Macaca fascicularis: one gene and its partner. The protein of the gene in region 1 binds, or shares a complex with, the protein of each later gene. Links are inferred from orthologs where the notes say so. Each region holds a gene or a part of one and is shown on either strand. Other genes may lie near its edges.

What was found. Proteins that work in one complex are often made in the same cells at the same time.
Region 2: PFDN6 (region 1) and ASDURF share a complex: the UniProt entries of both Homo sapiens proteins name them as parts of the PAQosome complex. The link is inferred for Macaca fascicularis from reciprocal best matches to the Homo sapiens genes PFDN6 and ASDURF.

The regions. Positions count from the first base shown.
Region 1 is NC_088378.1:138,412,922-138,416,181, forward strand, and holds PFDN6 (prefoldin subunit 6), read right to left. Parts: upstream 1,858-3,260; 5' UTR 1,826-1,857; exon of another isoform or gene 1,685-1,825; 5' UTR 1,598-1,684; coding exon 1,534-1,597; intron 1,307-1,533; coding exon 1,236-1,306; intron 1,155-1,235; coding exon 1,030-1,154; intron 770-1,029; coding exon 640-769; 3' UTR 557-639; downstream 1-556. Other genes in the region: WDR46 (WD repeat-containing protein 46), read left to right, coding at 2,275-2,352, 2,450-2,659, 2,763-2,843, 2,987-3,099, 3,222-3,260. UniProt on the Homo sapiens protein: Binds specifically to cytosolic chaperonin (c-CPN) and transfers target proteins to it. Binds to nascent polypeptide chain and promotes folding in an environment in which there are many competing pathways for nonnative proteins.
Region 2 is NC_088386.1:85,308,121-85,312,291, forward strand, and holds the start of ASDURF (ASDURF protein), read left to right. Parts: upstream 1-1,362; 5' UTR 1,363-1,367; coding exon 1,368-1,511; intron 1,512-3,800; coding exon 3,801-3,854; intron 3,855-4,171.

The sequences.
Region 1 (3,260 bases):
TCAGTAACCTCTCTACCACTGGTCCCTTGCTGCAAATGTGTATAAAACAATTTTAGGACAAGGAAATGGCAGAACAACTTTATGGACAACATATAAACTTGGGAGGACTTATACACTACAAAGCATTACGTGCTGGGATTTTAAGTCAGTTTAAGCTACATTCAAGCAAATTCTAGGAAGACAGAGGCTGAAAAGTACCAATAGAGATGCCAGGGCTGCTGGCAAAGAGGGTAACCACATTTCATCCTGGGGCCTCAGGTTAGAGAACCGTGAATTCTTTTTCAATTGAACTGACATTCCTAGTAATACGCTATGTTGTAAATGCCCTTCCAAAATAATCATGCCAACCAAGATGAGGGAAAGTTAAGGGTTGTATATACAGGCAAGAAGTAGGTTTGAGGACATTTAGGATTTCACTTTCAAGAAAGAAAGAACATTGTGCCACAAAGAAGTTCCAAGTGCAAGAGTTTGAACCTGAGGGGGTAATACAGGTGGTGTGTGTGAAGGTGGAAGGGACTGTGGGGATATGACAGAAGCGCCTGGTCAGGAAACGGAGCCAGGTGTTTTTACATTTTATTAGCTACAGTATAGATGCTAGAGCTGCCTCATTCCCTCCCCTCCCCTCCCCCCACCAAGGGGTCAGGCCTTGCCAGGAGCCCCTGCCTTTGCCGCCTGGGCCCGCTGGAACTCCTGCTGCAGCTGAGCAAGGGTCTCCCTCTGTTGCTCTGACTGCCGCTCAAGATCCCGGAGCTGGGATTCATATCGCTTACTAAAGAGAGACAAGGGAGACAAGTAGAAAGGGAGAAATTAGTAGGACTTACTAAGGAGGGTGCTAAACGCAAGAAAGAGATAGGTGGAAAACTTGAAATTAGGGAAGGGAGAAGGGGGGTTAAAAGGGAAGGAAGGGGTTGGAGGAACTGGAGGACTAGGGGCCACTATGGAGAGCTGTTCTGCAATGGTTCAACACCTCTACTCCAATGATTCACTGCATCACAGGGTGCAGCACACAGTGGTGGAATAAAGACTCACATTTCAGCTGTGATATAGTCCAGCCTCTTCCCTACTGTGGCCCGAGCCTCCCCCAGCTCCTGTTTGACTAGCACCGGACCCAGAAGTTTAAAGACCACGTTGGACCCATCCAGCAGGGCCAGTTCCTGATGGAGGGATGGGACATACGTGATCAGAACCATGGCTAGTACAGGTCCCTCCTCGCCCCACAAATCCCAGTCCCTCACCTCTTTCACGATATTATTTTCTGTTAGTTGTGCTTCAAGTTTCTGCCTCCCCGACATGGATTTACTCAAGTCTGGGGATAAGAGGAAAGGCAAGATTAGAAACATCAATCCTAGTCAGGTGGATATGGATCTGAGGAAGCAGAAAAAGATGGGGGCAGCGGGTCAGTGAATAGGGAAGAGTACTGAAGCGGGAAAGTCTCTGCACGCAAGGGCCCAGATGGGGCAACAAACCTTATCTCGGTAATGGCTTTGGGTTGTGAGTGCATTGGGCGAGGCCATACCGACCCTGCTCCCTTACCCTTCTGTAGCTGTTGATATTTCTCCACTTCTCCCTGCAGCTTCTTCTGGATCAGCTCCGCCATGGCAGGGATGAAAGCCTACGGGGAGCGAGACAAGGGCGCTGCGTCTCACTCTCTGGAAGGTACCTGAGCTCCCTTTTCTGATCTCGCCTGCGGAAATGATAGCACTCTTGAGAGGCAGCCCTGAGGGGCACCGCCACCTCCCCCCCGTCCTGGGTATCGACTCCACCCCGTCCCCAGGATATGGTGGGCGAAACGCAAGACCGTAAGCCTCTCAACCGAAATCCCAACCTATTCACGTTCTGCTTTCAGTAGTAATAAACCCGGAAGTAAACGAGGAATGCCGGGAAAAGACTGCGCCGGAAGTTTCTTTCTGACCCTTGATGGGAAGTGTAGTTCTGACATGTTTAGCGAATGGAGTTCTGCTACAAAGACTGGACTCGGATATTTTTAGGCAAGATGGGGAAACTAACCCGGAAAAAGAAACCGCACCGCTACTTAGCCCCTGGTCCCGGGCCTGCCTTTCTTTTGTAAGTCACTCTTGCATAAGCTGCCGCTCCCGATAAGGTGCCAAGAGCTCTTCCGCCCCTCTAAGGAAAGCGTGCCCTCACTCAAGATGGCGCCTAGAGAGCTTCAGACCTGGTACGCTGCTGATTGGATGAAGGATAGAGGGCTTCCGGGAGTTTTCAAGCCGACTGTGGGGCAGCTGAGAGAAGTTTTGCACGTGGATCGCCGTTCGGATGGGCGAGATGGAGACAGCCCCCAAGCCGGGCAGGGATGTCCCGCCCAAGAAAGACAAACTTCAGACCAAGAGAAAGGTATCGGCCTCCCTGGGTGGGAAAGGAAGTTTTTTGCTGCGGGGTCGGGGGGGCGGGGCGTGGGTGCGGAGTATCAGAGTTCCTGATCTGCTTGTAGAAACCGCGGCGATACTGGGAGGAAGAGACTGTTCCGACCACAGACGGAGCCTCTCCAGGGCCTCCTTGTAACAAGAAGAATCGGGAGCTCCGTCCTCAGAGACCAAAAAATGCTCACATATTAAAGAAGTCTCGGATCTCTAAGCAGCCTCAGGTCCCGAAGAAACCCCGAGAGTGGAAGAACCCGGAGTCCCAGCGGAGCTTGTCCGGGGTGAACGTGGAACCTAATGGGTGGCGAGGCAGGGCGCCTTGTGCTTTGAAAGGGTTGGGGTCAATCCAAGGCTGTCTACTAACTGCGTTCTCCTTTCCCCTAGGCCCAAGATCCATTCCCAGGCCCCGCCCCCGTCCCTGTGGAGGTGGTCCAGAAGTTCTGTCGTATTGACAAATCCCGAAAGGTGAGGTCCAGCCGGAGAGTTGGGAAGTGTTGGAGGCAGGGAGTGTCTGAGTGAGTTGAATGGAGGCTGGGCTAGGTAGCTCTCCTGTGACCCCACTTATCCTATGGTTCTTCTGCCACTCCTCCCCACCAACAATGTTATAGCTACCACGTTCTAAAGCCAAAACTCGAAGCCGACTTGAGGTGGCTGAAGCTGAGGAAGAGGAAACAAGTATCAAAGCTGCTCGTTCTGAGCTGCTGCTTGCTGAGGAACCGGGGTGAGTGGGCCCTAATCTGGACCCCCAATCCTTGCCTTATAGGACTGTCTTTTCTCGTTTTTATGTTGGTACACTTGCTTCATATTGGGAAACTTTACTGCTATCCTAACCCTTGCTTTCAGGTTTCTGGAAGGGGAGGATGGGGAAGACACAGCAAAGAT
Region 2 (4,171 bases), on another chromosome or scaffold:
GGCCTCAAGCAATCCTCCCACCTCAGCCCCAAGTGGTTGAGATTACAGGTTTGAGCCACTGCACCTATCTACCTCTCTACCAAGAAAGACTAGACGTCCATCATCCAACAGATACCACCAAATGGTTAGACCACAAAACCAAACTCCCAATCATTGCTGCTATCAATGCATCAGTAATGTATAAGTTATACCTGAATAGTTTATCAGGAATATACAAATAAGAAACAAAAATAAAATTCTAAAAATCAATTAAGAAGGAAAAATATATAACCACTTCGGATTTCTCTAAGAGCAAATAAAAAACATGCCTGGACTTAAACAACCCATGATGTATACATTTCTGTCGCGAGACAGTTTGATTCATCACATAAATCCACTTGGGCATCTCTGCGGAACCTTAAGATTTCCAATAATATAGTATAATTCTCAAAAACCTAAAATCATGTCTCTAATGTGAACATAAAACAAATACATGTCAAAGTTTTATTCAACTCATTAGTTAGTGAGGGAACCGATAAGACTTTAAAACCAATACAGAATATTAGAGAAGCTAGGCATATATTAATAAAGAAATGTTAGGACACAATTGCAGGGTTAGAGACAAAGCTGACGAATGTGTTACAGAACAATACATCATAACCTGTGTTGGTATCTGGTACACCAAAAAAATTATTTGCATCTCTACCAAACCAAAATCTCTACCAAAGTTAACCTTTGCCCCTAGAGAATTGTAAAACAGCCCAGTCAAGTCAATATAATAAAGTCAAGTTCAGAGCAGCACTGAAAGAACATCCAGTAAATAAATCTCTTTTGCCTATTTCCAAGTTTTAGTCATTTTTTTCCACGGAAGTGAGATATTGCAAATATTGCAGGGGACATAGACATACTAAAAAACTACGAATTCATCTGAAATTCATGCTGTATTTTATCCGGCAACCCTAACCACGAGTTAACCAAAACTTTACCAAGTCTGTATAGTTCTATTGCCAACACAGTATCTCCTATGTTCCTCAACTTCATCTTTCCCTAGATAATACATATTATATTAAGAGCTATTTCTATTGCACGGCTATTCTTTACATTTACCACTGGAGGGCGCACATAACTCGTAGTATACTAGATAAGACGTCATGAAGAAACCACCTGAGCGTTTCTGCATCTCAACCACTAGAGGCCAGTACACGAACCTCAGATTTTGCAACCAGACTGTTTACTCACGCCCTAAGCAGCCACGCGCAGGCGCGAAACTCCTCACCAGGCCAGACACGGCCTGCGCATGCGTTCAAGTGAGCGCGCAGACGCTGTTGGTAAAACTCGCGGGAAAAGAAAGGGTGCGCGAGGCTGGAAGCGCGCATGCGCGGTGACTAATGCTCGAGGTTCCTTCAGGGCCGAGCATACTGCGTTTCTTGCGGTGGGTGGAAATGCCCAACCGAGGGACGCGCCCAGAGGACAGCCCTGTGCTGATCCCCACCGACAATTCGACCCCACACAAGGAGGATCTTAGCAGCAAGGTGAGTGTCAGACGCAATGAAAGGCTCCTGGACTTGGGACTGGGCGCCACAGGACCCTAAAGTTGGTCCGCAGGGGGCAGCGTGGGGCCTGCCCGGGACTCGGCTTTGCCCTGCTACTTTTCTCTTTTTATTCTTAGCATTTGACAGCTACAGTTAGTCCTTTTATTTTCTGAAAACAGTTGCGAAAAGGAAGATATTGAAATTTGCCCCGAGACACGACCCAGGTGGCAGCGGGGCGGAGTTCTGGTTGGGTGTTTTTAAACTTTGGGAAATACCGCCCACCCCAAATCTGTTCCATCGCAGATATTCTGCATCCGGTTAACCATGCCAGCAACCTGGGATCCATCCTTGACGCCCATCATGGAAGCCTATCAGTTCTACCTTTGAAACTCATTTCAAATATGTCCCTTTATCACCGTGAACACTTACCACCCCAAATAAGCCACCGTCATCTGCCATCGGGACCCCCGCCCCCCTCCCCCCCCGCAAGGGCTTCCTAACTGGTCTCTCCTCATCCACCTGTTAGCTGCTGCTTCTCCGTTAACCAAAGCAATGGTCCTAAAACACGCATTGGGTTGTCACTGTTATACCAAAAAGGGGGAGGGAGGATGCCAATATAATATAAGCCTTAACTGCCATAAACAAACAAAACCTTTAAAGATAAATGGGGATGGGGAGGGTTATAGCCCTTCAGGTATTACATGTCCTAGATTCTACTTTGGTTCTGTCCCAAACTTGCAATGACATCTGGGCAAGTCTCTTTAATCTTTTTGTATCAGTTACCTTCTTTGAAGTAAAGTGAAATGTACACCTGTCATTCCTAAAATGGGAAAGCCCTGTACAAACGTTAAGTCTCAAAGAATGTTTACAAATTCGGCCTTGGAATTCAACCTCATTACCACAGCTCTGCCAACTGGGGAGACAGAAAGGTGCACACTCATGGGAATTGGGGGTGAATTTTCAAAAGACACACAGTCCATTCTGATTACCACCATTGCAAGCCCCTTACGCATACTGGTGGATACAAATCCCTGAGGTGTGTGAGGTAGCACAAATATTATAAAAGCTGCTTTTAGAGGCTCGTGTGATACTATGTAATTAGTCGTGTTCACAAAATAAATAGTTAAAGAGTTAAAAAGAAACTTAGTTTTCACTTAGTTGAGCCCTCCCCTACAAATAAATAAAGCCCAGGTCAGCACTGTGGCCCAGGCCGGTAGTCCCAGATACTCGGAGGCTAAGATGTGAGAATCACCTGAGCCTGGGAAAATCGAGGCTGCAGTGAGCCGTCACCTCGCCATTGCACTCCAGCCTGGGTAACAGATCAAGACCCTGTTTGAAAAAAAAAGAAAACCAGTTCAACAGTGCCAGCTCCATGCTAGCCATTGAGCTAAAAAGGGAAAAATACAAAGATGGAACATGATAGGTCTTACTGTCCCCAAATAAGGCATTGCTTGATTTGAATGTGTTTGACTGCACTGATTAGTACATAAAATCATGAAAATATTGAAAAAAGTAACCCACCCCTTATTCAATTTGCTGTTTTTTTCCCCCCATCTAAATCACAGCTTAATTGAAAGACTGGAATTCCTTTTGGTGTATATCATATATGTATGTGTGTGTGTATATATATATATTTTTACATATATATTTTTTTCTTTTTTGAGATAGAGTTTCGCTCTTCTTGCCCAGGCTAGAGTGCAATGGCGCAATCTTGGCTCACCGCAGCCTCTGCCTCCCAGGTTCAAGCAATTCCCCTGCCTCAACCTCCTGAGTAGCTGGGATTACAGGCATGCGACACTATGCTTGGCTAATTTTGTATTTTTAGTGGAGATGGGGTTTCTCCATGTTGGTCAGGCTGGTCTCGAACTCCCAACCTCAGGTGATCCACCTGCCTTGGCCTCCCGAAGTGCTGGGATTACAGGCATGAGCCACCGTGCTGGGTCTGGTGTATATCATATATTTTTAACAAAAGGTATAAACCTTGTTGAGTAACTGTAGTCTTTGGTATGATTGCTGGTTACGAACACCAAATCCCCTGTCTGATCTTAATGGGTTACCTAACATTTTGCAAGTCTAATCACTGTTTTTTCTCCTCCAACTTTTCCCCAACTGGACCCCCACACAGACTGCTGTTGAAGATAATCTGTATATTCATGAACTGCCCATTTGGAAAACCAGTACATCATAGCCCCTTATCCCATCTCTAATTTTAAAACAACCCCTTAAGGGATTCTCATTGAACATACTTTGAAAACATCTAGCTTAAGGAGTTTTTCTTTATTTCAATAGATTAAAGAACAAAAAATTGTGGTGGATGAACTTTCTAACCTTAAGAAGAATAGGGTGAGTTATTATAGGAATTCTGAATAACAAATATGTGGGAGGTTTATTTATGTTAACTATATATTAAAGTTATAAGAATTATATATGAGATTTAATCATACTTTAATAAAATGTATAGTATTTCAGCATCTTTTTAAATTGCAAGTTTCTATTTTTTAAATGGATAGATCTCATAGTTGAAGATGTCTTTTTTCTATCATATGCTATTCACATTGCATTTGCAACAAATGATACTAGTTGTATTTTGGTATCTTGGAGCTGTAATCACTGATGATGTTTATTTTATACCCTGAATTTGGTGTTTTCTTTTGATACAA